7 linked regions of the Macaca mulatta genome follow. The protein of the gene in region 1 interacts with the protein of each later gene in a biochemical or structural test. Links are inferred from orthologs where the notes say so. Each region holds a gene or a part of one and is shown in the gene's direction. Other genes may lie near its edges. The genes, in order: STUB1, JOSD2, HSP90AA1, UBE2W, NQO1, MAPT and ATXN3.

Region 1 (4,167 bases):
GCAGCGAGGAGAAGCAGCCAGACACCCCATCAGGACAAGCTCTGGCTCCGACTCCTGGTCCTAGAGACACACAAGGGCCCAGACTGTCTGCTTCACAGACAAGGACGCTTATGTACCCAAGTCGTGCCCACCCAACTCACCTGAGGCTGTGACTGTGGTGGGTCCACACCGCAGAGGGCAGACAGCTGGGTGACCGCGGCGCCCACATCTGGCAGGAGGCAGAAGGTGGTGGTCGAACAGTGCACAGCCAGCTCAGGGGGATTGGTGGTCACCAGCTGCTGTGAGAAGCCAGGTCAGGGTGCCCGGGGTGGTGGACCCACAGGGAGGCCCCGCCCCCACGAAGACCCGCTCTGGAGGCCCCGCCCCGCCGATGCCACGCCCCGGTGAAGACCCGCCCTACGGAGGCCCCGCCCTCGAGGCGGGCCGCCCCTCGCCGCCAGCTTCCAGGCCAGCAGCCGCTCCAGCTCCCTGTCACATGCTCTCCGCTCTGCCCCTGATGGCCGCTGGCAACTCCTCCCGATACCTGGGGAAGGGCGGTGAGGGGAGGTCCGGCCACAGGGGGCGCTCGCCCACCGATCCCTTTATCCCCTTCCACTCTACCAACGGCCCAGGGCTTCCAGCCGCACTCGGGGGTCCGCGCGCGCCCGTAGGACCTCTCGATGGCGCTCCGGAATGGCGGCCCAGCGACTGGGGTCCTTACACCCAACAGCGCGGGAAGCCACTATGTTCACGCGGAGGGGCGGGGCCGGCTGCCGGGGGCGGGGCTTCTGGGTAGGGGCTGGCTGCTGGGGGCGGGGCCTCTGGGTGGGGCGGCCTGTTGGGGGCGGGGCGTCTGCCGATGGGGCGGGCTGCTGGGGGCGGGGCTGGCTGCCGGGGGAAGGGCCTCTGGATGGGGCCCGCTGCTTGGGGAGGGGTCTCTGCGCGTTGCGGCGGGGGCGGAACGCCAGGTGGTCGGGACAGGCTGTTGGGGGAGTGCGCCCTCAGCGAACCAAGGCATCTCACTGGGAAAGTCGAATGTGTGTGGCGGTCGCCGCCGAGGCCGGTTCCGAAGAGGCCTCAGCAGGGCGGGCCAGGGCCTCCGCGAACGCCGACCCTTAAGAGCGCCGAGCGAGGGAACCGGAGTGTTCCTCCCAGCCCCCGACGCCGCGGGCCTAGCGTCCCCGTCCAGGCTGATTGGGCGCACGCGCGGCCCCACTCGCCCCCACCCGTGCGTCCCCGCTGGTCCCGCCCCCGGCCGGAAGTTCCGGCGGTGGAGCTGGGCCGGGCCCGAGAGGATCGCGGGTTCGGGCTGCGGGGCTCGGGCTGCAGGCGCTGGGCCGCCAGGCGCGGAGCTTGGGAGCGCAGCCCAGGCCGTGCCGCGCGGCGCCATGAAGGGCAAGGAGGAGAAGGAGGGCGGCGCGCGGCTGGGCGCTGGCGGCGGAAGCCCCGAGAAGAGCCCGAGTGCGCAGGAGCTCAAGGAGCAGGGCAACCGTCTGTTCGTGGGCCGAAAGTACCCGGAGGCGGCGGCCTGCTACGGCCGCGCGATCGTGAGTGCGCTCGCGCGGGAAGGGCGGCGGCGGCGGCGGCGGCGGCGCCGGGGAGGGCCGGGCCCGTGCCCGGCTGGCCCCACCGAGGGTCTGGTTCCTCTGCGGGGCATGTCCTGGGCTCCTAAAGCCCAGCCGTGGTTCCCGAGCCCAGCGCCGGGTGTCGGAGAACGAGGGTGGGATGCTGGATGGAGGCCGGCCGGGTCGGGGGGAGGGCAGGGGCCCTCGCCCCTTGAGGATCCCAGGTCCAAAGCCTGGACTCTCCAAAGATTTGGAAAACTTTACAAAACCAAGTGGAGTCAAGCGGATAGGCTCAGCCAGTACTCCACTGTCTGCAGATCCTTGGATCCAGGGGCTTTGACGACTGAGAAGCCTAGTTTCTTGATTCTAGCCAGAGCGCAGAAGCTGGGACGGGCCGTGGGACAGAGGGGGCGCGCTGAGCCTACACCCTCATGCGGCTGGCCCGGCCTTGGTCCCTAGACCCGGAACCCGCTGGTGGCCGTATATTACACCAACCGTGCCCTGTGCTACCTGAAGATGCAGCAGCACGAGCAGGCCCTGGCCGACTGCCGGCGCGCCCTGGAACTGGACGGGCAGTCTGTGAAGGCGCACTTCTTCCTGGGGCAGTGCCAGCTGGAGATGGAGAGCTATGATGAGGCCATCGCCAATCTGCAGCGAGGTTGGCTGACAAGCTGCCCGGTTGTGGGGCCCCTGGGGCCAGGCGGGTGGACTGGCCAGAGAGTGACCTGAAGCCCCCGTTCCCCAGCTTACAGCCTGGCCAAGGAGCAGCGGCTGAACTTCGGGGACGACATCCCCAGCGCTCTTCGAATCGCGAAGAAGAAGCGCTGGAATAGCATCGAGGAGCGGCGCATCCACCAGGAGAGCGAGCTGCACTCCTACCTCTCCAGGCTCATTGCCGCGGAGCGTGAGAGGTGGGACCCTCACCCCAGGTCGCCCTGTCTTGGGATAATTCTGAATCACCAACTACCAACATGAGCGTTTATTGAAGGTTTCACTGGCGAGCAGAAAACGTGGGGAAGAAGCATGAATGTTAGCCCTGAGGTTGGGGTGTGGTCAGACATCTGGCCAGGTCCATCTCTTACTGGCTCCTGGTCAACCCCCAGGGAGCTGGAAGAGTGCCAGCGGAACCACGAGGGTGATGAGGACGACAGCCACGTCCGGGCCCAGCAGGCCTGCATTGAGGCTAAGCATGTGAGGGTGCCCCCCTCCCACATGTGGGTCTGTGTGTGTGCACCTGGCGTGGGAGCATCCCCGCCTTGTGTTGGGTCTGTGCCCCATGGAGGAGGGAGGTGGGGTGTCCCGCACAAGTGCAGTGCTCAACTCTTCACAGGACAAGTACATGGCAGACATGGACGAGCTCTTCTCTCAGGTGGACGAGAAGAGGAAGGTGAGTGTCTGTCACTTGCTGCGGTGGGTGGCAGGTGCTGGAGCAGTGCCCCTTCCCAGCCTCTGATCGTGTGCCCCTGTGCCACAGAAGCGTGACATCCCCGACTACCTGTGTGGTAAGATCAGCTTTGAGCTGATGCGGGAGCCGTGCATCACGCCCAGTGGCATCACCTACGACCGCAAGGACATCGAGGAGCACCTGCAGGTGAGGCTGCGGCTGGGGGAGCAGGGCCAGCAGCATGGTCCTGGGCCCACTGACTGCCCTCTGCCCTTCTTGTCACTGCAGCGCGTGGGTCATTTTGACCCCGTGACCCGGAGCCCCCTGACCCAGGAACAGCTCATCCCCAACCTGGCCATGAAGGAAGTCATTGACGCATTCATCTCTGAGAATGGCTGGGTGGAGGACTACTGAGATGCCTTGCCCTGCCCAGCATCCTGGTCCAGGAGAGCCCTGGGCGGAAGCCCTCCACCCCTGTACATAGTTTGTGTTGCTGGCCACCCTGGCCCCTTCCAAGTTCAAGTTCTGCTGTTGGGCTCTGGACTATTCCCCCTCTCAGCATAGCTCTTGCTGGGCCGTGATTGTCCTCCTTTGTGGGCTGGAAAAGCAGGTGAGGGTGGGCTGGGCTGAAGCCACTGCCGCCACTGTCTGTGTAATAAAATCCATGAGCACGAGATGGGACGTGCTGGTGTGTGGCAGGCATGCCTGCCAGCTGCTTTGGCTAGCCGAGGAAGGTGGAGATGAAGACGCTGGTGTCAAGGTTGAGTGTGGCATGCCACCAGCGGTCAGGGAAGTACAGCACCTGGTGGAGAAAAGGGGTGCAGCACAGATTAGCTGGGGGCCTCTGGCCTGGCCTGGCCCTCTCCTGCCAGCCACTGACCTCACCAGCCCGGATGGTACACTCCAGGGGCCGTGCAGACGGTGGCAGGGCTGGATATGTGTCCCGGAGCCAGGCCAGCGTGGTCTTGTTGGGGTGGAACTCTGGTGTCTTCTCAGGTGGGTAGAGGAACCAGCGCTGGGGGCAGGAGCAGCAGCGTCACCCTTGCCTGTTTTGGTCACCGAGCCCCAAAGCTCAACCCCAACCCTGTGCTGACCTTACGGCCGTAGATCACCTCCGAGTACCCGGGCCCATGCCAGTGGAAGGGCACCCCCGAGCCAGCTCCTGTGGGGTTATGAGCACCTGGTGACCAAGCCATTTTGTACCCACCCTCAGAAACCTCACTCCTCCCCAGTCCTGAG
Region 2 (4,159 bases), on another chromosome or scaffold:
ATCTGGGGCACAAATCCTGCGCCATGCCAATCTCCTGGTAAGCCCCACCCAAACCATTCACACAGAGCCCTACCCCTTGTGTCTTGGTCTCACCCCACCCTAAAGTGGATATCCTTCCCTGACCTCAACCCTCTCCTCCTTCATCCACCCCAGGTGGGGTCCCCCTCAGCTCTAAGTGACCAGACCACAGAGCGGCAGCTCTTGGAGGCCTCACAGCACTGGAACCATGCCGTGTTTGTGGCCCGAGGGGCCCTGTGGGGTACCGAGGACATCACGAGATTGGATGCAGCTGGGGGCCTCCGGGTGAGGGCCTGCTGGGCTCCCCAGGAACCAGGGGAGGCCTGCAAAGACCCCACTCCCCCTAACCCGGGCTCTTGCTTCCAGAGCCTTCGTGTCACCATGGCCACACACCCCGATGGCTTCCGGCTCGAGGGACCCCTGGCTGCAGCCCACAGCACCGGGCCTCGCACTGTGCTCTACGAAGGCCCTGTCCGTGGGCTCTGCCCCTTTGCCCCCCAAAATTCCAACACCATGGCGGCGGCTGCCCTGGCTGCCCCCAGCCTGGGCTTCGATGGGGTGACTGGTGTGCTTGTGGCTGATCTCAGGTGAGCAGAGTGAGCAGGGTGTTGGGCTGAGTCCAGGCTAACCACACTGACCGCCCCACTTGTCCCAGCCTCACGGACATGCACGTGGTGGATGTAGAGCTGAGCGGACACCCGGGCCCCAGGGGCCGAAGCTTTGCTGTGCACACCCACAGAGAGAACCCTGCCGAGCCAGGCGCGGTAACCGGCTCCGCCACCGTCACGGCCTTCTGGCGGAGCCTCCTGGGTGCGGCCAGGCCCCTCTCCCCCGGCCCTGGGCTCCTGTGTTCTGCAGAGCTTGGGGATCCCGGGCTCTCGCTAGTTCTGCAGCTCTGGTTATGTATTTGTTGACCTTTATTTCTGACCTTTATTTCCTTAACCTCTGTCCACGACTTTGAATCCTGGCACCGTAGATGTCTCCATCTCTGTCCGCGTCCCCTCTCTGAGTCTCTGTGCCCGCCTCTGATGAGGACTCTCTCTGTCTGTCTGTGTCCACCCCCAGGGCTCTGTCCCGCTCTCTCTGGGTCTTCCTCCACCGCCCCCAAGGCCTGTCCCCTCCTCCCACCATTGCCTCCCCCAGGTGTCTGTCTCCTCATCTCTCCTCTGTCTCACTCGCTCATTCCCCTCTCCCCGCAGTCTGCTGCCAGCTCCCCTCCAGGCCGGGGATCCATCTCTGCTGAGAAGCCTCCTCCCTCCCGAGACGAGATCATCTTACTGGCCTCTCACTACCACTATCCCACCCCTGCCTTGCCCCACTTCCCCAGGATCTCCCTTCTGACTCAGTAAAGATCATCGCTGTCTCCCCCTGCACCGCCTGGCGTCCCTGGTCCCTGTTTCCCTTGTGTGACGTCACGCTGCGTCTGCGCACCGCGCATGACGCCATCGCAGGGGGCGACCTCCCACGAGAGCGCGGCGCCGGGAAGCTATCGCGAGAGCGTACGCACTATATTTCCTAGAAGCTCTGAGCGGTAGTGGGCGCGGCCGTACGCGAAGGAAGGGCATCTGAGGCACACTTCCGGGACTTGTTGCGGAGCCCGACGGAAGTTGTAGTGCAGCATTTTCTAGGCCCGACGGCGGACTTCAAGGCCGCGCGGCCCGGGCGTTAGGTGGGGAGGAGGGGTCCCGCGGGGCCCCACGGGAGTCGTAGTCCGGCGCGCAGGGATCACCGGGAGCTGTAGTCCGTCCCGCCTGCCCAGTCAGCGCGGTGCTGCCCGCCCCGCACTCGGAGCACAGAGCCGCAACCCAGGAAGGGGATGCGGAAGCCCTTGGCTCGGTGGAGCGGAGAGGCAGGCGGGGTGAGGGGCGTTGCCAGGCAAAGGGCGAGCGCCGTGGTTGGGGTGCGGGTCGGTGAAGGGCTCCATTCCTTGGTGTCCGGGGAAGGGGCCTGGTTGCCGGGTATAGGAAAAGGAACTCCTGTTGCTTAGTGACTGGGGAGGGGGCCCCGTTGCCAGGTGACAAGAGCAGAGAGCCTCGCTGCTTCATGACCGGGGAAGGGTAGTCTTCTGTTGCTAGGAGACCGGAGGGGACCCTATCACCTAGAGACAGGGGAGGAAGACTCTCTTATTGCTAGGTGCTCGGAGGACAGACTTTGTTACCGAGTGCCGTGGGGAAGGGGCTCTGTTGCTAGGTAACCACAGAGCGCCCGGTTACCTAGGGACAGGGGAGGCGGGTTCCTCTGTTGCTAGGTGACCATGATAGGCACCCTTTTACTTAGAGACCTGGTGGGGGTGGTTCTCTGTTGCTAGGGGAGCAGAGGAGACAGCCTTTTTCGTAGGAATAGGAAGAGGGGATGGAGGGACGTGTACTGTCAGGAGACCCAGGGAGCGGGGTCAGGGGCCCAGTGCCCTCCCGGGCTGCCCGGAGCCCCAGCTCAATCAATGGCGATGCCCCAAAGGCCTGCTGGGAGGTTGGACCTCTAGATCCCGGGCCCCTGAGGACCTTCTTCCCCTCCCAATCCCCAGCAGGAGCCGAGGACGGCATGTCCCAGGCCCCGGGAGCACAGCCGAGCCCACCCTCTGTGTACCACGAACGGCAGCGCCTGGAGCTATGTGCCGTCCACGCCCTCAACAACGTTCTGCAGCAGCAGCTCTTTAGCCAGGAGGCTGCCGATGAGATCTGCAAGAGGTGACCGTCACCCACCCCGGCCCCTGGAGCAGCAGGGCTCCGGCAGAGCGACCCACCTGGGTCTCGCCACCAAGCAGGCGCTGAGCCTGGGGGCTTTCTTCTGTCCCCAGCTCACTTGCCTAAGCCAGACGCTGGGACTCTGGGGAGATGTTGCCTCCTGTGCCTGCCTGTCCTTGTGGCCTCAGCCCCAGCCAGGCCCCAATCCGGTGGTCCTTTCTTTCTTTAGAGACAACGTCTGGCTATGCTGCTCGGGCTGGTCTTGAACTCCTGAGCTTGTGATCCTCACACCTCAGCCTCCCCAGTAGCTGGGATTACAGGCTCACTCAGTTTCAGGCATCTCTTATCTGGGCCCTGTCACAGCTCTCCAGTCCATCCTAAACACACCCCCACCCTACTCAGGGCCCTCCTGATAGCGGAGGCCGAGCCTGCCTCTGCAGCTTCAGCCCTCACAGCCCCCCTCAAACCAGACTCTCCACTCCCGTGAGCCCTCCTGTGCAGCCTCTGGGCTTCCAGGTACTTCTTTCTGCCTGGTGTGGCTTCCTTCTCTGCCAGCATGGAATGTTCCTCTTCACTATTCACGATGTCCAACCTCGCTCCTTGGCCGGGCGCAGTGGCTCACGTCTGTAATCCCAACACTTTGGGAGGCCGAGGCAGGTGGATCACTTGAAGTCAGGAGTTCCAGACCAGCCTGGCCAACAGGGCAAAACCCCGTCTCTACTAAAAAATAAAAAAAAATTAGCTGGGCATGGTGGCACACGTCTGTAGTCCCAGCTACTCTGGAGGCTGAGGTGGGAGAACTGCTTGAACCTGGGAGATGGAGGTTTCAGTGAGCCAGGCAACAGAGCCAGACTCTGTCTCAAACAAACAAACAAACAAAAATCCATCCTTTATCATCTCTTACTCCCTCCTCTCTGTCCCCACGTCCCTGGCCCCAGCTCAGGCCTGATCCTCTCCTGCCCAACCTGCCCGTGGCCTCCAGTCTGTCCCTGCCTTCAGTGCCCACTGATCCTAGAGAGTCTTCTACACCTGGAGGTGGGCTGCCTCTTCTGTCTCTTGCTGAAAGCCGCCTCTGGCTCCTGGACATCCTGAGAGTCCCAGCCCCTCAGACTGATCATTATGGTATTTATTCATCCCTCGATCGTTCAGAACAAGGACCCACCAGCTCTTTCATACCAAAGCCATGTTGGAGACCCTGAGATGACTCAGACTCAAGTGCCAGCCTGAGGGTGGCGAGGGAAACACACACACACACAAGCCTTTTCCTCCCATGCCCTGCCTGCCCAGGGCCCAGATAGGGAGCAGAGGTGCAGCTGTTCAGAGGCAGGGCCCAGAGACAAGTGGTGGCAGGCGGAAGAGCCTTCCTGGGCAGGGGAAGAGCTGGAGGAAAGGTTGGCAGGGGTGGGGCGGGGGGTGGTGGGCACCGGGGATGTGGCTGGGGCCAGGGGGCCAGGAAG
Region 3 (4,209 bases), on another chromosome or scaffold:
AGTCTGAAAACCCCTGCTCCTGAGTAAGTTGGTTTCCCTAGAGACCAGGAAGCGGAGGTAGTTCCGTCGTTTGTTTACACGGTAAGGAGCTTCCAGATTATTCCGAGGACCTGGCTATGAGTTTAGGCAGGAGGAGGCCCAATCATGGGAGGCGCCAGAGAGGAAGAGGACATGGACGAGGCATGGGAGCCAAGTCTAAGGAACCCCAACACCTCTAAGGTTCTCATAGCTGGCCTTGACCAAAATATCTGAAAATTCTCATGTAGAAACTGGTTCTTCCAGCCTGAGCAACATGGTGAAACCCCAACTATACAAATAAATACAAAAACTAGCCGGGTGTGGTGTCCGCGCTTGTGGTCCTCCGCCCGCGCTCGTCCCAGTTACTCGGAAAGCTGAAGTAGGAGGATCACCTGAGCCCGGGAGGTCGAAGCTGCGGTGAGCCAAGATTGTGCCACAGCACCCCAGCCTGGGCGACAGAGGGACAGCCTGTCCAAAAACAAAAAAACACCAAACCTGTCTTTTAGGGAAGGTTAATCACCAAAATGTCAAGTGTTAGATACTTAATTTGGAGACCTCAAATCGATCGGCAAAACGATGGGCTTTTAAAAAGCATGCCGGGTGTAGCTGGGTAAGCATGAATTTATTCACCAAGGGCCCGATTCCCAAGCTAAGGGACCCTGAAGTGTGAAGGACATGGCTTCCGGGGAACCCAAAGGTAGGGAGCGCTCCTGAGCCAGCAGTGGGTCTGGAGACTCCCCGAGCGCGCAGGCCGCGGGACGGCGTCCCCTGCGCGCAGCAGCTAGAAGCCAACAGCCCAAAGGCCCCCAGGGAGCAGAGCCCCGCGATCCCGGCGCCGCCTGCGGCTGGATTTTTTGGCAGCGGGCGCGCCGTCCGTGAGGATGACGGCTCCGGTAGTCTCCCGGGCGTGCGAGACCCGGGGCGCTCCCCGTCCACGCACGGCCCTCCCTCCAGGCGCGCCTCCCGCCCCAGCCCCGCATTCTGCGCAGCCCGGGTGACCAAACTACACCTCACTTCAAAGGCCCCCACGCCCGGGCGTGCCCTCCGCCCGCGCTCGGCAGGTGGGAGTGCAGGGAGGAGGGCGCGGGCGGCCCCAGAAGGCGCCCGGACCTTCCCGAGAATTCCAGGCCGCGCAGGCGCATTGAGGTCGGCGCGGGGGCGTGCGAGAGGCGCGGGGCGGTGATTGAGGGAAGGTTTCCCGGGCTGGGCCATGAGCAGGGCCTGCGCGCGCCAGCGGGAGGGGCGGGCCACGGCGAGGGCGCAGGCGCAGGCGCGCGGCCGCGGCGGCGGTTGGGGAGGGTTCTTCCGGAAGGTTCGGGAGGCTTCTGGAAAAAGCGCCGCGCGCTGGGCGGGCCCGTCGCTATATAAGGCAGGCGCGGGGGCGGCGCGTCAGTTGCTTCAGCGTCTTGGTGCTGCTGTGCCGTGGAACGTTTGCAGCCTTTTAGCCAAGGTGTGAGGGGCGGTTGTGGGGGCCTGTGGAGGTGGATTGGGGAGTGGGGGCGGTTGGCGCGGAGCGGAGGCTGTGGGGGCCGAACGGGAGCCCTGAACCCGCCAGGGCCGCTCTCCCGGGAGGCCGCGCTGCCTATTCCGGAGGCCGTGGGCCCGCTGCTGTCTCCGCAGCCCGCCTCAGGAATGGGCTGGGCGGCTGCTCCCCGAGTCTCCGCGGCAGCCCCGGAGCTGGCGCCGCACGCGAGCAGAGCGGCCCTTTGGCTGGGGGCCCCCCGGGCGGCCCAGCTGGGGCGCAGGCGGAGGAGGCCGCCCTGGCGGAGCCGCGGCCCGCGCGGGAGGGCACACGGGGTGTCGGTTGGGGACCGCGGCGCGGGACTGGGCCGGGCCTGCAGTGGCCTCCCGGAAGCGCGCACACGCTCGTGGTAGTTACCGCGCTCCGAAATGAGGTCATCCTTTGTCAGCCGCCCTTCTATTTTCGGTTTACTTAAACTTCGCAAATCTGCAATCCGGCTTTAAAAATATTGGGAGGACGCGATGGAATCTCGTGTTGCCCCTGTAGACGCCCTGCAGGGTTTTAAACCGGCGCGGTGTCGTTCCAGATGCCTGAGGAAACGCAGACCCAGGACCAACCGATGGAGGAGGAGGAGGTTGAGACGTTCGCCTTTCAGGCAGAAATTGCCCAGTTGATGTCATTGATTATCAATACTTTTTATTCGAACAAAGAGATCTTTCTAAGAGAGCTAATTTCAAATTCATCAGATGTAAGTCGTTTATTAACCCAGAATAGGATTTTGGTTTCAATATGAACTTCTTGGGGGCTGTATGCTTAATTAATATTTTGTGTTAATAGGCATTGGACAAAATCCGCTATGAGAGCTTGACGGATCCCAGTAAATTAGACTCTGGGAAAGAGCTGCATATTAACCTGATACCAAATAAACAAGATCGAACCCTCACTATTGTGGATACTGGAATTGGGATGACCAAGGCTGACTTGATCAATAACCTTGGTACTATCGCCAAGTCTGGGACCAAAGCGTTCATGGAAGCTTTGCAGGCTGGTGCAGATATCTCCATGATTGGCCAGTTCGGTGTTGGTTTTTATTCTGCTTATTTGGTTGCTGAGAAAGTAACTGTGATCACCAAACATAACGATGATGAGCAGTACGCCTGGGAGTCCTCAGCAGGGGGATCATTTACAGTGAGGACAGACACAGGTAGGTACCTGAACACTCACTGGTTAAGTCAGTGGCGGAATGGTGGGGTGTTGCAACCCTTGGACCCCTGGGGATGCGGCGAAGTTCACAGAAAGTGTGTTTACCCAAGGATCAGGAACAAGCTAGAGCTCTGAATTAGTGTGTAATGGCATGACTTGGTGATTACTTCTTTTGGGCAAGGCACTTAGATCTGCTGTGGGAGCCTTTGCATCTGTAGTAAGGGCAAACCTCGCTTCATAGACACGTTATAAGGGTTAAGCATGGCGTTGAGCACTAAATTGAATGTATTATTGAGTCAATTTTCCTTATTTCTCTTGCAGGTGAACCTATGGGTCGTGGAACAAAGGTTATCCTACACCTGAAAGAAGACCAAACTGAGTACTTGGAGGAACGAAGAATAAAGGAGATTGTGAAGAAACATTCTCAGTTTATTGGATATCCCATTACTCTTTTTGTAAGTTTCTACATAATTGCAGAGTGAATTACTGTCTGTAGGTGACTGGGGTGACTGTACTACATCCTTAGTTCCTAGGTCTGTTGAACTAGTTTGAAGCCTGGGGAACCTAAGCTCTACTAACTGTGAAGGTTCCTCGGGTTATTAAGTAGATATATCAAATATTGATGAGAAGCTGCCTGGCTGCTTCTCATCCTCGGTAATTTAGGCTTTGGCCTTAGGTTGAAAGTAGTGGGGCAGCGCTATGACTTAGTTCTAGAGTGCAGCAGTGATGCGATTTCATGTCTTTTGAAGGTGGAGAAGGAACGTGATAAAGAAGTCAGCGATGATGAGGCTGAAGAAAAAGAAGACAAAGAAGAAGAAAAAGAAAAAGAAGAGAAAGAGTCTGAAGACAAACCTGAAATTGAAGATGTTGGTTCTGATGAGGAAGAAGAAGAAAAGAAGGATGGTGACAAGAAGAAGAAAAAGAAGATTAAGGAGAAGTACATCGATCAAGAAGAACTCAACAAAACAAAGCCCATCTGGACCAGAAATCCCGACGATATTACTAATGAGGAGTATGGAGAATTCTACAAGAGCTTGACCAATGACTGGGAAGATCACTTGGCAGTGAAGGTGAGTGAGGGACTGATGGATGCTTCAAGCTTGTCTTTAGATTATCATCCCACCACCCCAAATATCTGCTATAATGCATTGTTCATTGATACTTAGTGTGTTTGTTCTATTACAGCATTTTTCAGTTGAAGGGCAGTTGGAATTCAGAGCCCTTCTATTTGTCCCACGACGTGCTCCTTTTGACCTGTTTGAAAACAGAAAGAAAAAGAACAACATCAAATTGTATGTACGCAGAGTTTTCATCATGGATAACTGTGAGGAGCTAATCCCTGAATATCTGAGTAAGTATAGATAGGAAAAATAATCACTGTCACTGATTAAAGAAATACTTCTGGCTGGGCATGGTGGCTCACACCTGTAATCCTAGCAGTTTGGGAACCCGGGGTGTGCGGATCACTTGAGGTCAGGAGTTCAAGACAAGCCTGGCCAACATGGTGAAACTCCATCTCTCCTGAA
Region 4 (4,300 bases), on another chromosome or scaffold:
ATATGCTTCTGGTTGATTCCGGTTTACCAAGAGCATCCAAACATCCCTCAAGGACACAGTCATTTTGCACAACAAAGGGAAACTCCGCTCATTTCTGGCATTAGGGTGGACATCTGAGAGAGGGGAGGGTATACCACCGTAACTTCTCTAGTGATGAGTAGTGTTTAATATTATGCCATAGACTAACTGGCGTATTTTAAAGATCTTTTTCCTTTTTGAACACATTTCAGATTAGAGAAGTTCCAGAGAACGTAATCTATTTTAAGAGTGTGAAACAGTGATATTCTGCATTGCTTTTATATCTTAAAGAAATTTCTAAAAAGAAAGCCGAGTCAATAAAATGACAGATTTTAAGCCTTCATTCTGGTAACATAAAAGCCTTCTACTCATTGTGTCTGCCACCTTAATTTTTAAAGATAGAGCATGAGGTGCAAGCTTTTGGCTTCCATTTTCCTCTTATAAACCAATGACATCTTCAGTTCCAGAATAGCTTTTTTAAAACGTGACTTCTGATAAATGTTGGCAGAACTGGTGCATTCCTAAAATAAATTATGTATGCTCAGCTTTCCCTACCCAAGTTCATCCCTAACTGACCACAAAACTGCCCACCACGAAATAGGCTTAAGAGAAGTCTGGACATAATGGTCTAAGTGTATATAACACAACACTGGTATATTTTTAAAAATTCAGTATATTTTAAAAAATTCATGCCTAGGGTCAATTCTGATAATCAAATTTAGACTGCCGCAACAACCGTAACTACTGTTGATACATGCGAAGTTTAAAACTGAAGGGCTGGGGTAAGGGGCAGAAACTGTACACAACAAACTTCCAAATTTTCTCTCCCCTTTCAGGCAAGTTTCAGCTCCACAAATCTAAATACCCTCGCCTTTAAAATATCAGTGTCGTTTTGCTCTTTAATCCTCATCCTGTTGTACAAGGAAACCTATGTCTCTCTTCCCCAGATTAAGAATACAAGAAGCTTTCCAGGTCTACAAGGACCAGAAAGCAGCTGCGCGGGAAGTTTCATGGGGCCCCAAGGCTCTCAGAGTGGGCTTGACGGTATGGAAAACACATCCCAAGAGAAAAATCTGTGAACCGCACAGCTGTGTTTGGAAAACCAAAACGAAATAGAAAAAAATCTGAGCTGATCCGGACGGCATCAGGATTACGCGGTACACAAGAAGAAAACAACCGTAGCCGGGTCAAAACTGGAGCCGTGTCTCCTCAGTAACCAGAGTAAACGGAAGACCGACGCGGGAGCGGCGAACCGGACTGAGACCGAAGGTACTCGGAGCGCCATTTACCACGTCCTCGCCCCGCCCCCTAGCCCCTCCTCCCGTCCGCCCTGCGCGCCAGCCAATCCCCTCGCGCCATCACCTTCCCATCGTAGGCCCCGCCTCCGCGCCCGGGATGTTGAGCCCCCGCGGCGTGACGCGAGCACGGCAGCTCCTCCCCCTGCGTCTCTGGCCTCGCCGGTCTTGGGGGGATGGTTCCATCATGGCGTCAATGCAGGTGAGAGGAGTTTGCTGCATCTGGGCGGGCCAGGGAGCCGCCGAGAGAGTGCCAGCGTTCGGGCGGGGGTGGCGTCCGCGATTCGGGGACACCCGGGCGGGTTCGGGATCGGCCCGGGTGGCTTGTTTTCCTTCAGCTCAGGGCGTCGGGGGAGGGGTAAGAGGCGGCGAGAGGCGTTGGGGGGGTGCGGTATCCGTCGGTCGAAGCGGACACCAGCCGGCCGGGAAGTTGGGTGATAAAGGAGGCTTGGGGGAGAAAGGGCGAAGTCTGGTGTTGGCAGCCTCAGAATCGGCTCCCCGCGCACACACACACACACACACGGCCACTGCCAGTCTGCTGCCCGCCAGTCCCAGGGTTGCCTTTACCCCCGCTGTCCCTGGCCCGACGGAAACAGCTGCGCCCGCGGTTGTTGCCGGGGCAGGGGCGGCGAGGGGCTGAGTGTGGGGGAGCCGAGAAGGCGTCTCCGGAGAAGGCGACTGGCTGCGGACGGCGCTTAGCGGCCTCTGCTCCGGCCTCCCACGCCGGGCCCCCCAGACTGCTTGGCCCCGTCTCTCTCTTCTTCCCTTTGACTCTTAATCCTGTGCCCGTGGGTATCCGCTCTTTCCATCAGCCTCGGCATTCTCGCGGACATTACTTCAGCAGTCCAGTGTCTCCTCCTCTCGAAGCTGCCCCGAGTCCACTGCCTGATGGGCGATCTCCCGAGAGCCAAGTCCTCAGCCCCCTGAAACCTTTCGGGATAGCTCGCCCTTTATTTTGTTTCCCCCTACAAGGCCCCACCCTTGCGGTCGCGATAAGGCTATACATCTCTTTGCCCTTATTCGCAGACCTTTAGTGGAACCTTAGTTTGGTAGGAGGCGTTTGTTAACCTGTGCCACATCCACCCGACTTAGCAAGGCGTGGTTTTCTGGCTTTCCAACTTAATTTACTCCTTTTTCCCGAATTCAGGGAGTTGCGGGTTTTTTGTGTTTTTGTTTTCAGGCAAAGATGGCAACCACAATTGTAGTTTTGTAGAGATTGGCTGCGTTATCTATAGCCTGCATTTAATTCATAGGTGAAGACTAGCGGTATCAAAGACATTGGAAGAGAAAGTAGAACACTCAATAGGAGTGTCAGCTGAATACTCTTTAGCGTTTTAATAATATCCCCTTGGGTAAAGAGACCACGTTTTCTTAGAAGTGTTTTTTGCTTTTGTTTCTGAAAGAAGCAAGTCTCTGTTCCTCCTCCATTTTTTTTTCTTTTCTCTGCTAAAAGTGTTTTTCTTCCCTTTTCTGCAACTTCTTCCTCTTTTGTACAAATATATCTTTGCTTCACATTTACTCCTGTGCTTTTATGTTATTCCCCTTTCAACCTGTTTTCCTTACAATATTCTCTTTACTTTTGCTTCTCCCTCTGGACTTGCCTGCAGAACAGAAAAGTTTTATGTAACATTTCTAGTTGAAGAGATGTCACGAATGGTGCAGGGAAAAAAACAGGAACAATTTCAGGAAACATTATACTTTACACTAGTCCCCCAGAGACGTTAGAGAAGTTTCGTCATTTGAGGCCAAGAAAAGGAACTGTGGAATGCTAGTTGAACAGTAGATGCAATAGGCTACATGACCACTTAAAGATTTTTATCTGTGTTAAGATTAAAACATTTTTTATGACAAGTTTAAGATTATCTGTATTAAGATTAAAACATTATTTGAGAGTAAAAATTAAGATTAAAATCCACAACACTCGTGATAATATTTGACAAGAGAACGTAGTGTGCCATCTGGTTAGATTTAGTATCTGGAAAAGGCAGATTTGTTTGTAAGAGAAAGGTTGGTAATGTTGAACTTTACATGGTGTCTTTTTTTTTTTTTTTTTTTTTTTTTTTTTGAGACGGAGTTTAGCTCTTGTTGTCCAGGCTGGAGTGCAGTGGGGGCGATCTCGGCTCACCGCAGCCTCCGCCTCCCGGGTTCAAGTGATTCTCCTGCCTCAGCCTCCCGAGTGGCTGGGATTACAGGCATTGGCCATCACGCCCAGCTAATTTTGTATTTTTAGTAGAGACAGGAGTTTCTCCATGTTGGTCAAGCTGGACTTGAACCCCCGACCTCAGGTGATCCGCCCACTTCAGCCTCCCAAAGTGCTGGGATTACAGGTGTGAGCCACCGTGCCCGGCCTACATGATGTCTTAAGCAATGGAAACAAATACTTGATTGATAGTGCAATAGTGCATTTTTCTGTGCCCTAAGTATTACCTCAGACTGTCTTACCACTCTTTGAAGTTTTTCCTTCACCTTATTCCATCTAAATCTTATCACTCTCTATTCTTCTGTGTTTTCTGGTTAGAGGAATGGAAAATGGATGCTTAACTCTTTTTATTAAAGTAAAAAGTCTTTTCCTTTTGTTTGTATTTTAAAATATCTAGTGCAGATTTTCTGGTAGTATCTTTAAGAATATTTAAATATGTATAAGTCAGGCTTTTTGAAAGACAGCCCTACTTTCTGTGTGGTTATTCTGTATCTTTGTTGTACAGAATTTATATCCTATCTTAATGGCAACATCTGGCTCTTTTAAGACAACTAGATTATACATAAATCTTCAATCAAATTATCAAATTTGTTTAATCACTGAGCCAGTTACCTTTTGGGGGCCCTCTGTGTGTCAGACACTTATCTAGGTGCCGCGGTTATAGCAATGAACAAAAGCGAACAAGATTTTTGCCCTCATGGATTTAATAATAAATAGTCTGGTAAGAAGAGACAGATAATAACAGCATATTTAAGTTAATTGTTTTTTGTTTTTTGTGTTGAGATGG
Region 5 (4,277 bases), about 63 Mb from region 1:
CTTGCGGCTACCTTACTTGGGCAGCACAGATAGGAAAAGTTCTATTGGACAGGGCTGCCTAGCCCTTTTTTAAAAGGTCCTTTTATACTATTTTGTCAGATGGGGTCTCACTTTGTTGCTCAGGCTTATTGCAAACTCCTGGGCTCAAGTGATCCTCCTGCCTAGGCCTCCCAAAATAATTCGTAAATACACAGTCCTCTCTTGTTGCATCAAAATGAATGCAAAAATGTCATGATGGGGCCCGGCGCGGTGGCTCATGCCTGTAATCCCAGCACTTTGGGAGGCTGAGCTGCTAGGATCACCTAAAGTCGGGAGTTGGACACCAGTATTCTGGTACCTCCTTAACTTTTGCACTGGAGGGACAATGGAAGGGCCCTGTGTCATCCTCACCTTCCCCATCTGTAATTCTTGTGATGGTTCATTACCACTTTAAAGCTCTAGTTCTTTTTCCTTCATTGACATCTTTAACTTTTTCTTTATAGAGATTTTTTTTTGGAGACGGAGTCTCGCTTTGTCACCCAGGTGGGAGTGCAGTGGCTCGATCTCGATCCACTGCAACCTCCGCCTCCTGGGTTCAAGCGATTCTCCCGCCTCTGCCTCCCGAGTAGCTGGGACTACAGGCGCCCGCCATCATGCCCGGCTAATTTTTGTATTTTTAGTACAGACAGGGTTTCCCCAGGTTGGCCAGGCTGGTCTCGAACTCATGACCTCAGGTGATCCGCCCACCTCAGCCTCCCAAAGTGCTGGGATTATAGGCATGAGCCACCGCGCCTGGCTCCGTTTTGGCTCTTCTTTAATATGCCTCCCTATAACTGCTATCTCCACACCAGCCTTGCTTTAGCTCATGGGAAACAAAACCAATTAGTTCCCCCATTACCTGCCTTGAGGAGCAGGGGTGGTGCAGCGGCATGCACCCAGGGAAGTGTGTTGTATGGGCCCCCAAGTGCAGAATCTGAATCTTGCAAAGGAAGAAACAAATTCATCTCCACGGAACATGTCTCCCCAGTGCTCTCAGCCTTCCAAATCCACAGTCACAGTGACTCAGCAGAATCTGAGCCTGGGGCACCACAGTAATCTGCATCCGGCTTTTTTTCTGCTCCACTTCGTGCCAAGGCTCAAAGGGCAGGCCCACTCGATCCCTGGACTCTCTTGGGAACAACTTCCACCCTGCATCCCCTTGCACCTCAGGGCACAGTGCGCAGATGGGCTTGCCTTAGCCCCTCCAGCCAGATTTTTGAGGCCTCTGTCACACACCCCCACGAACCCCTCTTCCAGCCCCCAGAGACTTTTCTTGACTTCCACCAGTTGCTCAGGCGGGGCGGGTGGGAGTGGAGGGGCTCCTCCTTCACCCCCCAGGCTCCCTCCCTTCCTGGAGCTGCAGCCTTGGCATCCTCTAGCCCAGCACCTCAGGATACAGGCGTTGGGTCCCGCCCTTGTTGACGTCCAACTCCAATGAGCCGCGCAGGATATATGAGAGAGACTGCACCGCGCACCACACACACGACTCCTGCAAGGTTGCCGCTGGAGTCGCCCGGCCCAGTGAGAGCCTAGTCCCGGCCAGGGTCGCCCCGGCAAGCACGAGTCCAGCCAATCAGCGCCCTGGACTGCACCAGCGCCATGGTCGGTGAGTGCTGGAAAGGGCGAGGCGCTTGGTCTCCGGAGTCCTGGTGCCTGTGGAGGAGGTTGTATGGGTTTGGCCCTGAGTTTTGTTCCTTGAGTCAAAACCCACAAAGGGAAGAGATTAGGGTCCTGGGATGAGCCTTGATGGGACTCCGGGAGAAGGAGAGCTTCTGTTTGTATCCGGAGTTGTGGATCCTTCCTCACTCCACCCCCACGAACTCCAGTGGGCATTTAGGAGAAACCTGACCTTGGACGCAGGAATTCCCTCCAAAACTGGGGTCAGAAACTGGCCGCTGGAGGCCAAATCAGGCTTACGGTCACAGCCCATACCTCTTTCGGGCTATAGTATTTAAACCAATTTGAATTAAGTTGCAAACATTAAAATGGGTGATTTCACTTAAAAATGTGGATTCCGAGCTTCTGAAGAAAATGAGAATATCTGGTGATTGGTGGACAGGAGTGGAGGAAACCGATACCTTTAGTCTGACAGAGACCAGAACCGGCTCCAAGCTGCCAGGCTCAGGTTTTGTTGTTTTGTTTTGTATTGTTTTGTTTTGTTTGAGACTGAGCTTTGCTCTTGTCGCCCAGGCTGGAGTGCAATGGTGCTATCTCAGCTCACCGCAACTTCCGCCTCTCGGGTTCAAGCGATTCTCCCATCTCAGCCTCCCGAGTAGCTGGGATTACAGGAGTGCGCCACCATGCATAGCTAGTTTTAATATTTTTAGTAGAGACGGGGTTTCGCCATGTTGGCCAGCGTGGTCTCAAACTCCCGACCTCAGGTGATCCGCCCACCTCGTCCTCCCCAAGTGCTGGGATTACTGACGTGAGCAGCCGTGCCTGGCCTTGGGAGGTATTTTCCATTGAGGCCCTTGGATTAGGCAAACCTGATCAGGTCGTTCTGGATCCATTTCTAGTATTGGGTCCATTTCAGTGATAGAGCCTCCCCACTCGGCCATCAACCCTAGGGGAACTTAGAGGTTAACCCAGCTCCACCCAAGGCATAAATAACCAGCTGAGACAACTGCAGGGACTGAGAGCTATTTCCCAAATAATCTCACTCTGAGACTGGACAGCGCTAAGATTTAGAAAGCTGTTGCCTCATCTGGGGCACAGTCCTGCGTTTTGTAATTTCTTTCCCTGTGAACCTGGTCCTGCCTCTAAAAATGCACCTGCACACACAGAAGCCCATCTTGGTCAAAGTGAGTGGAGGAAGAGATTGCCCTTGCAATTGACCGACTGAAATTATCAGAATCTCTGAGAAAGGGACTAAGCAGGGGATTGGTAGCCCAGAATGAGTTGCTGGCAGAGACAGCAGGGAATAGATTCTTACAGCTGAGAGGCTTGCCGCATACACGGTGGTTGCTATTTCCTTTGTATTTCTTTCTTAAGCTCCCCGAGGCACAGGCACCCTCTCCTCCAATACTAGGGCAGGAACTGTTTCCTGACTTTCCACTCTTACAGAATGTTCTGTATTTATGCGTAGCTTAAACACAAAAAAGAGAGCTGGTAATGAGGGAAAAAAGGAAGACTTGGATCTTGTATCATTAGTTTTAGCTGTACCCGGCTAACCAAATCTTGAGGTTCACTAAAGCATCCAGGTTTTTTGTTTGCAACTAATAGATGTGTCTGATTCGCACTCATGTTCCCTGGAGCACTCAAGTGAAGAGAGAAGGCAGAAGGAGAATGCATGAAACTGATACAAAGTCTTACCTTTAACATACTTCTTTTTTTCTTTTTGAGACAGGGTCTTGCTCTGCTGCCCAGGCTGGAGTGCAGTGGCATGATCAGGGCTCACTTCAGCCTTGACCTCCTGGGCTCAAGTGATAGTCCCATCTTTGCCCCCTGAGTAGCTGGGACTACAGGTGTGTGCCACCACACTCAGCTAATTTTTTTGGTCAAAGCAGAACTTGAAACCTGGCTAAAAAATATTGTTTTTGGCTGGGTGTGGTGGCTCATACCTGTAACCCCAGCACTTTTGGGAGGCTGAGGCAGGAGGACTGCTTGAGGCCAGGAGTTCAAGACCAAGATTCAGTTCAAATGGCAAGCTCCTCTGAGGGCCTTTCCTAACGGGCCAGCCCCGAAGTCCTGAAGTTTTCCTCTGTGGAAGTTTTTTTTGAGACAGAGTCTCACTCTGTTGTCCAGACTGTAGTGCAGTGGTGTGCACTTCCCAGGTTCAAGCGATTCTTGTGCTGCAGCCTCCCCAGTAGCTAGGATTACAGGTGCACGCCACCATGCCCAGCTAATTTTTGTATATTTAGTAGAGACGGGGGTTTCACCATGTTGGTCAGGCTGGTCTCTAGCTCCTGACCTCAAGTGATCCACCCGCCTCGGCCTCCCAAAGTGCTGCGGTTACAGGCATGAGCCACCGCGCCCAGCCCTCTGTTGAACTTTGTCCCTTACCTCTCCTAACACACTAATGCCACTCTACCCTGAAGAGGTTATCTGTGTGTGCATCCTGTGGCCTCTCTCAGGGTAAACTCTAGTAGTGTAACTCCTCCCAGGTCATGTTGCTCAGCTAGTTAAGTGGCAGGAAGGGAAAATGAACCCTCCAGGCCCAGAAAACTTCTTTTCTGTTAATTGCCTATTCACAACCATCTGTCTGTTTGTTTGTTTGAGACAGAGGCTTGCTCTGCTGCCCAGGCTGGAGTGCAGTGGTG
Region 6 (3,500 bases), on another chromosome or scaffold:
TGCAGTGTGGAGACAACTCACCCACCCCCGTCCTTGGATCTTGCAGGAGGCTGGGTCCTCACTGAGCTACCAATATCCATGGCCCTGAGGCTTTTAAAACACCTGTCCGTGGAGTGGGGCTGGTCCCAGTGGGGTGAGGCTGACCCTGGCAGAAACAGGGCAGGAGCCTGTGGGTTAGGGAGACTGCACCTTCCTTAGATAGCCTCCGTGTCATCATGTCCCTGTGACAGTTTCTGCTGCGTCCCTTCTGCATGGTCCCACCCTCAGCCAGCCTGCTGCCCCCTCTTGCCAGGTTGCTCTAATCAGTGACCCCAGTGTGCTATGCTGATACTAACAATGTGAGACCTAGCACATTCAAGGGAGAAGAGAACCAACTGGTTTCCACCAGACCCAACTAAACAAAACACGGACCTATCCCAGAGAAATGCAACTTCACCACAGCTGGCTGTTTCTGTGAACAGTGAAAATGGAGTGTGACAAGCATTCTTATTTTATATTTTATCAGCTCGCATGGTCAGTAAAAGCAAAGACGGGACTGGAAGCGATGACAAAAAAGCCAAGGTAAGCTGACGATGCCACGGAACTCTGCAGCTGGTCCAGTTTACAGAGAAGCTGTGCTTTATGTCTGATTCATTCTCATATATAATGTGGGGAGCATTTGTCACTAAAGCACAGCTGTCATTTAAAGTGCTTTGTATTTTGGGGCAGGCTTTTTAAAAGTCCAGCATTTATTAGTTTTGATACTTACCCCAGGGAAGAGAAGTTGGCAGGTTCATGAAGTCATGCTGCTAATTCCAGCCTTCTTAGTGTAGTTTCAGTGAGACCCTGACAGTAAATGAAGGTGTGTTTGAAAACCAACCCCAGGACAGTAAATGAAGTTGTGTTTGAAAACCAACCCCAGGACAGTAAATGAAGCCATCTGCTCACTGCATAAACTGCACCCTGATCTTTGCCCATCCTTCTCAGTATTTCACTTCACCCATCGTTTACTCCCTCAATGACTTGGTGTCTGGGAAAATGCTCCCGTAATTGCACAGTGGCGTTTTTCCTGGAAAATCCCACCATGGCTCTAGATAAGACCTATTTTTCTTAAAGGTATCTAAAATTTCCAGCATAAATTCTGTCTGAAACAGCTGAATTTTAATCAGTCCTGGAGCCCAGAGGGCATCTCCAGTTGCCACATAGCTCTGAGCATTCGGTGGTGTGTTGGTGTGTTGGGGGCTGCTCCCGGAAGTGCCTGCAGAGTCAGGGCTCCCCAGCCTCACCTAGTGAGGCAGCGGAAGGGCCTGCGGGAATTTGGAGAGCTGCCCTTTGGGTCCCTGAAGTGATAGTGACAGCTGCTTGTCAATCATGGTGCACATTTAGTGCCGGGGGCAGGGGTCAGGGAATACCAGCCTCATGCATGCATGCATTCGTTCATTCATTCATGCAGCACACATGGGTACGACATCCCTGCCCTGGAGTTGCCTAGATTCTAGGGAGGGGAAAGATCTATTACCGTGGACCTCGGCCAGGTGGGGAGTGCTGCTGGTGGAGAGGGGCCATGTGCAGCGAGGAAGGAGGGGTCATCAATACCCCCACCCCAGCTTTGCTTTCTTGTCATCAGCCCCAGGGCCCCAGCCTGTGTCCCTCCTCTCCCACTACTGCTTCATCTCCTGGGTTCTCCTTACCAAGCCTGGCCACACAGAGGGTCTCGGCCGCTTCCATGGGGAGTTGGAAAGCAATAAGATAACATCCCCAAGAAGCCCAATGAAGTCTGGGTCAGGACCCTTCTCTGAGCTGACTCGCTCTCGGAAACACTTTGAGGCTTAGCCTCCCCACTTTGTTTTCTGAGAGCGCTACCTCTTCCCCTCCAAACATCCCCTTCTCCTCTGGGGCCATGCCCACCCATCAAAATCCCCCATGGGTAGGATGAACTGTGGGTGTCAGTCACCATCTATCCCACATCCCGGTTCCAGGTCCCCCCACCCCCCGCCGCCTCCACAGGGACAGGTATGCAGACACGTGTCTCTGGCTGCTTCCTCATGTGGAATGGGTTCAAAAGTTAGCAGTGTTGTTTACACTGGCAAACTGAAAAAGAGAAAACATTGGAGGCTTGGCACAGTGGCTCATGCCTGTAATCCCAGCACTTTGGGAGGCTAAGGTGGGAGGACCTCCCGAGCCCAAGAGTTCTAGACCAGCCTGGGCAACATAGCAAGACCCCATCTCTAAAACGAAAATTTAATTGGCCAGGCAGAGGTGGGAGGATCACTTGAGCCCAAAAGGTAGAGGCTGCAGTGAGCCGTGATGGCACCACTGCACTCCAGCCAGGGCAACAGAGGGAGACCCTATCTCTAAAACCAACAATGACAAAAAAAGAGTTAACATTGGCCAGATTAGGATTCACCAAATAGTGTTAATATTAGTTTGATTTGAGACTTTAATCAGAAAGCACATGTGTGGTGGGGGTGGGCATAACCTAAGATAGAATCTTTCCAACGTGGGGTGGGCACACTCCTGATTGAGTCTATCAGTGTGGTGGAAGAGGCCATGGGTTAATGGGCAGGCAAAAAAGCCCCTTGCCTGGAATTGAGTAGAAAGTAAGGCCCTTCAGACCCATGACACACTTGGCGACATTTTCTTGAGTAACATCCTAAGATTCATGTACCTTGATGATCTCCATCAACTTACGAAGCACCCTTACACCAGTGGTCTCCAAATTCAGGGGCACAATCACATCTAACAGGCTGGAGAAAGAACATACTAGAACTTCCATTCCTTTGTCATGTCCTCTTCTAAAAGCTTTGTCAGATGTGAGTTGAGTAAGTTGGTCATATAAGAAGTATGACTGGGGAGGATGGTCACTTTCCTGTTCTTACTGATCAGATGGGATGTTAAGGGTACCTGATTCAAACAGCCTGGAGATCACTGCTTTCAACCATTACCTGCCTTATTTATTTTTAGTTACTGTCCTTTTTTCAGTTTGTTTTCCTCCTCCATGTGCTGACTTTTATTTTGATTTTATTTATGTTTATGTTTAAGACATCCACACGTTCCTCTGCTAAAACCTTGAAAAATAGGCCTTGCCTTAGCCCCAAACACCCCACTCCTGGTAGCTCAGACCCTCTGATCCAACCCTCCAGCCCTGCCGTGTGCCCAGAGCCACCTTCCTCTCCTAAATACGTCTCTTCTGTCACTCCCCGAACTGGCAGTTCTGGAGCAAAGGAGATGAAACTCAAGGTAAGGAAACCACCTTTGAAAAGAACCAGGCTGCTCTGCTGTGGTTTGCAAATGTGGGGTGTTTTTTGTTTTTTGTTTATTTAGCCTCAAAGACCTTTCTTCAAATGAGCTCTGACACAGAAGCACCGTGTAAATAGTTAGAATTCTGGGCAAAGAGGAAAAGAGAGCTGGGGGCCGTACCTTTCAGCACCCCACAGGCTCTCATAGCAGCAGCCCCTCAGACACCTGGTGGGACCTTGGTTTCGAAATTGCTACTCTAAGGCTGGGCGCGGTGGCTCACA
Region 7 (4,001 bases), on another chromosome or scaffold:
ACTGCACTCCAGCCTGGGGGACAGAGAGAGGTCCATCTCAAAAAAAAAAAAAAAAAAAAAAAAAAGTACACCTTAATCTGGTTTCAAGGTGCAAGATCTGCACCTATCCTTCCATTCAAGCTTCATCAAACCGCTGCTACCTCCCCGTCTCCCACACAATTTATGAGACTTCTAAGTTCCCTCTAAAGGGTCCGAACACCTACAGTGGTAACAAGTCACTTGGATTTGAATCCTGGCAAGGCAACTTACCATCTGACCTTGGACATTGTGCTGTTCTTAACCTCTCCGTGCCTCGGTTTCCTCATGTGTATGAATAGCATCAACACCTACATCAAAGTTTGCTGTATTAAATTTGATAATATATGCAAAGCATTTAGAAAAGGGCCTAGCTCATAGAAAGCCTTATATAAATATTAACTATCACTTTTTTCCTTTTTTGGGGGCTTGGGGACGGAGTTTCGCTTTTGTTGTCCAGGCTAGAGTGCAATGGCACCATCTCGGCTCACTGCAACCTCCGCCTCCCGGGTTCAAGCTATTCTCCTGCCTCAGCCTCCCAAGTACCTGGGATTAGAGGTATGCGCCACCACGCCCAGCTAATTTTGCATTTTTAGTAGAGACGGGGTTTCTCCATGTTGGTCAGGCTGATCTCAAACTCTCGACCTCAGTTGATTCGCCCGCCTCGGCCTCCCAAAGTGCTGGGATTACAGGCATGAGGTACCGCGTCCGGCCTAGCTATCATTTTTATACAAGTGCTAGGTTTTGGGAGAATGTAATGATGGCTTTTTCTTACTAAATTTTCAGTGGAGGAGGAGGAGAAAGAAAGTAAATAGTTATATGAACACAGTAGAAAGTACAAAGTGGAAAACAAAAAGAGTATCGAACCCAGGTGAGTGGTCCAAACCTCCCCCCAGAAACCTAAGAACCCATAGAAATGGGTGGGAAGCGGAGAAGATCCTCCAGACAGCAGGTGGCGATGTAGCATCCCCCAGAAGGCCCTCTAACAGAAACTAGGAGGACGCGCTACCAAGGTCACGTGTCCCCGGCGTTCACTCGCTCTTCGCTTCACGTGACTCGCATCCTCGCGGGTGATTGGCCTGCGTGCGGCGCGTGGGCGGGGGACCAGGGCGGGGCGGGGTGGGCGGAGGGGAGGGACAGGGGGCGGAGCTGGAGGGGGTGGTTCGGTGTGGGGGCCGTTGGCTCCAGACAAATAAACATGGAGTCCATCTTCCACGAGAAAGTGAGTGTCCGCGTGCGGTGGGGAGCTGTCTGCCGCGCGGTGGCGGGCGTGGAGCGCGGCATCACAGCCTCCCGGAGGGCTGGGTGGGGTCCGAGTCGCCCCCATGCCGATCTCGCCGGGCGAGGGGCGACGCCGCAACCCCCCGCCTCTTCGGCTCGGGGAGGGGAGCATCACCTACGCTCCTACTTCCCCCGCGGCCCCCGCCCTGGGAGCCGGGAGGGAGTATGGGCGGGGCCGGGGGCGTCTCGGGACACGGGAGCGCGGTGGCGCCCAGTGGATTTGCTTCTTCCTTTCTAAGTCACTTTCCATAGCTTTTCGGAGGATTCCTTCACCCCTCCCCAATCCTTCCCTCTCCCTAGGGTCTAGCTACAGTCACCTCTGGGACACCTCCCTCGACCCCTCCTACCCTACTCCTGGCAGAATTAACTTTTCTTTCTCCAGACTGCTCAATTCTATATTGGAGTCTTCCCTACATTTAGATCTTTGAGGTCTTGTTCATGTTTTTTCCCCTGCACCAGGTCCGCGAGCCTCCCGAGGGAGGAGACCTTGGCTCGCCCACTGTAGGGCCTGACACTTAGGAAGTGAAGTAGGAAACCCGTTGTGCCCCTAAACAGGGAAGTCGTCACGAGTTTTTATTACGGGATGTTTGGGTTTGGTTTCTTTTGGTACTCTCATCTTTCCGGAGCAGGCAGCCAGCTTTGTTTTTAGGTATTAGGAGTGGACTGGAATGATTTTGTTGTGGTCTGCCTAGCCTGCTGTCACTTTAACTCTTCAGTGACCATGCACTTGAAGATACTGTTTGTGACATGTGGAGAAACTCCTCGTTTCTCACATGCTATTATCCATCCATTTGTATGTGAGTGAAGCCTTCCCCAGGACAACTTTGGCACATGATATCTTGTTTCGTAATAGTATCATGTTTGGAAAGAGTTGCTGGTAAGGCTATTATTTAATAGGAGGAGCAAAGGGTTTTTGTTTTATTAAATGCTTATAAATGATCGTTTATCCCAGACATTTAAAATTCACACACACGGCCGGACGCGGTGGCTCACGCCTGTAATCCCAGCACTTTGGGAGGCCGAGGCGGGCGGATCACAAGGTCAGGAGATCGAGACCATGGTGAAACCCCGTCTCTACTAAAAAAAATACAAAAAATGAGCCGGGCGCGGTGGCGGGCGCCTGTAGTTCCAGCTACTCGGGAGGCTGAGGCAGGAGAATGGCGTGAACCCGGGAGGCGGAGCTTGCAGTGAGCCAGGATAGCGCCACTGCACTCCAGCTTGGGCGACAGAGCGAGACTCCGTCTCAAAAAAAATAAAATAAAATAAAATAAAATAAAATAAAATTCACACACACACAACAAATAAAGCAAAGACAAAAGAATACATTTACCAGATGTAAATCTGTAGTATAAATCTTTTTTTTAATTTTTATTTTAAAGATGGCATCTCATTCTGTCACCCAGGCAGGTGTGCAGTGGAGAGATCATGGCTCACTGCAGCCTTGACTCCCTAGGCACAAGCGATCCTCCCTCCTCCGCCTCCAGAGTAGCTGGGACTACAGGTGTATATCGCCAGGGCCAGCTAATGTTTTTGGAGAGACAGGGGTCTCGCTGTGTTGCCCAGGCTGGTCTAGAACTCCTGGACTCAGGTGATTCTCCCACCTCAGCCTCTCGAAGTGCTGTGATTACAGGCGTGAGCCACTGTGCCTGGAACAAATTGTTAAGTACAATGCTTTTCATTGTAGAAAACATCTCAGAAACTTTTGAAATAGGCAGATTTACAGTGGGGGAGGAAGGCCTCAGTCATATAGTTGTCACTGATTTTTTGACTTGATTGACATGATTTATAAATCATAGACAATAGAGATTTAGTTGCTTGGCTGAGTAAAGTGTGTGAAAAATACACATGTACTTTCTTAAAAACATTTTTTTTTTGAGATCGAGTTTTGCTCTTGTCACCCAGGCTAGAGTGCAATGGCGCGATCCTGGCTCACTGCAACCTCTGCCTCCCTGTTCAAGCTATTCTCCTGCCTCAGTCTCGCTAGTAGCTGAGATTACAGGTGCCCACCACCACGCCCAGCTAATTTTTGTATTTTTAGTAGAGACAGGGTTTCACCCTGTTGGCCAGGCTGGTCTCCAACTCCTGACCTCAGGCGATCCACTCGCCTCGGCCTCCCAAAGTGCTGGGATTACAGGCGTGAGCCACTGCACCCGGCCATATTTTTGTTATTAATTTTCAAAGGCTTTGGTGTGGGACCAGATTTCAACATGGAAGGCCTTAAACATGTTCCACACTACTTCCTGAGAATCAGACAAGATTTTTAACAATATTGATTGTTACCTAGTTGGGACGCATTTCTACTGAACCATGGGATCAATAAAAGCTGGGTGCTAGCCTAGCGAAAATCTACTTACCCGAAAGAAGTCCCTCTTAGTCCGGGTGCGGTGGCTCACACCAGCGCTTTGGGAGGCCCAGGTGGGTGGATCACAAGGTCAGGAGTTTGAGACCAGCCTGGCCAACATGGTGAAACCACGTCTCTACTAAAAATACAAAAAATTAGCCAGGTGTGGTGGCAGGTGCCTGTAATCCCAGGTACTCAGGAGGCTGAGGCAGGAGAATAGCTTGAACCCAAGAGGCAGAGGTTGCAGTGAGCTGAGACTGCACCACTTCACTCCAGCCTGGGCAACAAAGCGAGACTCTGTCTAAAAAAAGAAAAGAAAAGAAAAAAAAAAGAGTCCCTCTGAATTATCAGCATGTGTATAGGC

The links.
Region 2: the proteins of STUB1 (region 1) and JOSD2 form a complex in vitro, tested with the Homo sapiens proteins (2 studies listed by BioGRID, with this or other methods). The link is inferred for Macaca mulatta from reciprocal best matches to the Homo sapiens genes STUB1 and JOSD2.
Region 3: the proteins of STUB1 (region 1) and HSP90AA1 form a complex in vitro, tested with the Homo sapiens proteins (14 studies listed by BioGRID and IntAct, with this or other methods). The link is inferred for Macaca mulatta from reciprocal best matches to the Homo sapiens genes STUB1 and HSP90AA1.
Region 4: the proteins of STUB1 (region 1) and UBE2W form a complex in vitro, tested with the Homo sapiens proteins (7 studies listed by BioGRID, with this or other methods). The link is inferred for Macaca mulatta from reciprocal best matches to the Homo sapiens genes STUB1 and UBE2W.
Region 5: of the proteins of STUB1 (region 1) and NQO1, one has a biochemical effect on the other in vitro, tested with the Homo sapiens proteins (2 studies listed by BioGRID). The link is inferred for Macaca mulatta from reciprocal best matches to the Homo sapiens genes STUB1 and NQO1.
Region 6: of the proteins of STUB1 (region 1) and MAPT, one has a biochemical effect on the other in vitro, tested with the Homo sapiens proteins (11 studies listed by BioGRID, with this or other methods). The link is inferred for Macaca mulatta from reciprocal best matches to the Homo sapiens genes STUB1 and MAPT.
Region 7: of the proteins of STUB1 (region 1) and ATXN3, one has a biochemical effect on the other in vitro, tested with the Homo sapiens proteins (6 studies listed by BioGRID, with this or other methods). The link is inferred for Macaca mulatta from reciprocal best matches to the Homo sapiens genes STUB1 and ATXN3.

Annotation. Positions count from the first base shown.
Region 1 is NC_133425.1:1,895,195-1,899,361, forward strand, and holds the start of STUB1 (E3 ubiquitin-protein ligase CHIP), read left to right. Parts: upstream 1-1,367; coding exon 1,368-1,526; intron 1,527-1,914; exon of another isoform or gene 1,915-2,003; coding exon 2,004-2,202; intron 2,203-2,289; coding exon 2,290-2,455; intron 2,456-2,647; coding exon 2,648-2,735; intron 2,736-2,874; coding exon 2,875-2,931; intron 2,932-3,018; coding exon 3,019-3,135; coding exon of another isoform or gene 3,136-3,216; coding exon 3,217-3,342; 3' UTR 3,343-3,649; coding exon of another isoform or gene 3,650-3,730; intron 3,731-3,805; 3' UTR 3,806-3,808; coding exon of another isoform or gene 3,809-3,943; intron 3,944-4,022; coding exon of another isoform or gene 4,023-4,090; intron 4,091-4,167. Other genes in the region: uncharacterized protein LOC106994901, read right to left, coding at 1-60, 141-275, 524-721, 837-961, 1,003-1,369. UniProt on the Homo sapiens protein: E3 ubiquitin-protein ligase which targets misfolded chaperone substrates towards proteasomal degradation.
Region 2 is NC_133424.1:62,898,753-62,902,911, reverse strand, and holds the start of JOSD2 (josephin-2), read left to right. Parts: upstream 1-1,359; 5' UTR 1,360-1,517; intron 1,518-1,556; exon of another isoform or gene 1,557-1,687; intron 1,688-1,801; exon of another isoform or gene 1,802-1,924; intron 1,925-2,542; 5' UTR 2,543-2,559; coding exon 2,560-2,705; intron 2,706-4,159. Other genes in the region: ASPDH (aspartate dehydrogenase domain-containing protein), read left to right, coding at 1-37, 154-303, 385-605, 674-828, 1,218-1,261. UniProt on the Homo sapiens protein: Cleaves 'Lys-63'-linked poly-ubiquitin chains, and with lesser efficiency 'Lys-48'-linked poly-ubiquitin chains (in vitro). May act as a deubiquitinating enzyme.
Region 3 is NC_133412.1:175,437,709-175,441,917, reverse strand, and holds the start of HSP90AA1 (heat shock protein HSP 90-alpha), read left to right. Parts: upstream 1-1,409; 5' UTR 1,410-1,468; intron 1,469-2,066; coding exon 2,067-2,228; intron 2,229-2,317; coding exon 2,318-2,684; intron 2,685-3,004; coding exon 3,005-3,138; intron 3,139-3,432; coding exon 3,433-3,753; intron 3,754-3,868; coding exon 3,869-4,034; intron 4,035-4,209. UniProt on the Homo sapiens protein: Molecular chaperone that promotes the maturation, structural maintenance and proper regulation of specific target proteins involved for instance in cell cycle control and signal transduction.
Region 4 is NC_133413.1:84,450,388-84,454,687, reverse strand, and holds the start of UBE2W (ubiquitin-conjugating enzyme E2 W), read left to right. Parts: upstream 1-1,500; coding exon 1,501-1,515; exon of another isoform or gene 1,516-2,785; intron 2,786-4,300. UniProt on the Homo sapiens protein: Accepts ubiquitin from the E1 complex and catalyzes its covalent attachment to other proteins.
Region 5 is NC_133425.1:65,348,621-65,352,897, reverse strand, and holds the start of NQO1 (NAD(P)H dehydrogenase [quinone] 1), read left to right. Parts: upstream 1-1,477; 5' UTR 1,478-1,617; coding exon 1,618-1,624; intron 1,625-4,277. UniProt on the Homo sapiens protein: Flavin-containing quinone reductase that catalyzes two-electron reduction of quinones to hydroquinones using either NADH or NADPH as electron donors.
Region 6 is NC_133421.1:70,887,857-70,891,356, forward strand, and holds part of MAPT (microtubule-associated protein tau), read left to right. Parts: intron 1-505; coding exon 506-561; intron 562-3,021; coding exon 3,022-3,219; intron 3,220-3,500. UniProt on the Homo sapiens protein: Promotes microtubule assembly and stability, and might be involved in the establishment and maintenance of neuronal polarity.
Region 7 is NC_133412.1:165,351,482-165,355,482, reverse strand, and holds the start of ATXN3 (ataxin-3), read left to right. Parts: upstream 1-1,201; 5' UTR 1,202-1,213; coding exon 1,214-1,237; intron 1,238-4,001. UniProt on the Homo sapiens protein: Deubiquitinating enzyme involved in protein homeostasis maintenance, transcription, cytoskeleton regulation, myogenesis and degradation of misfolded chaperone substrates.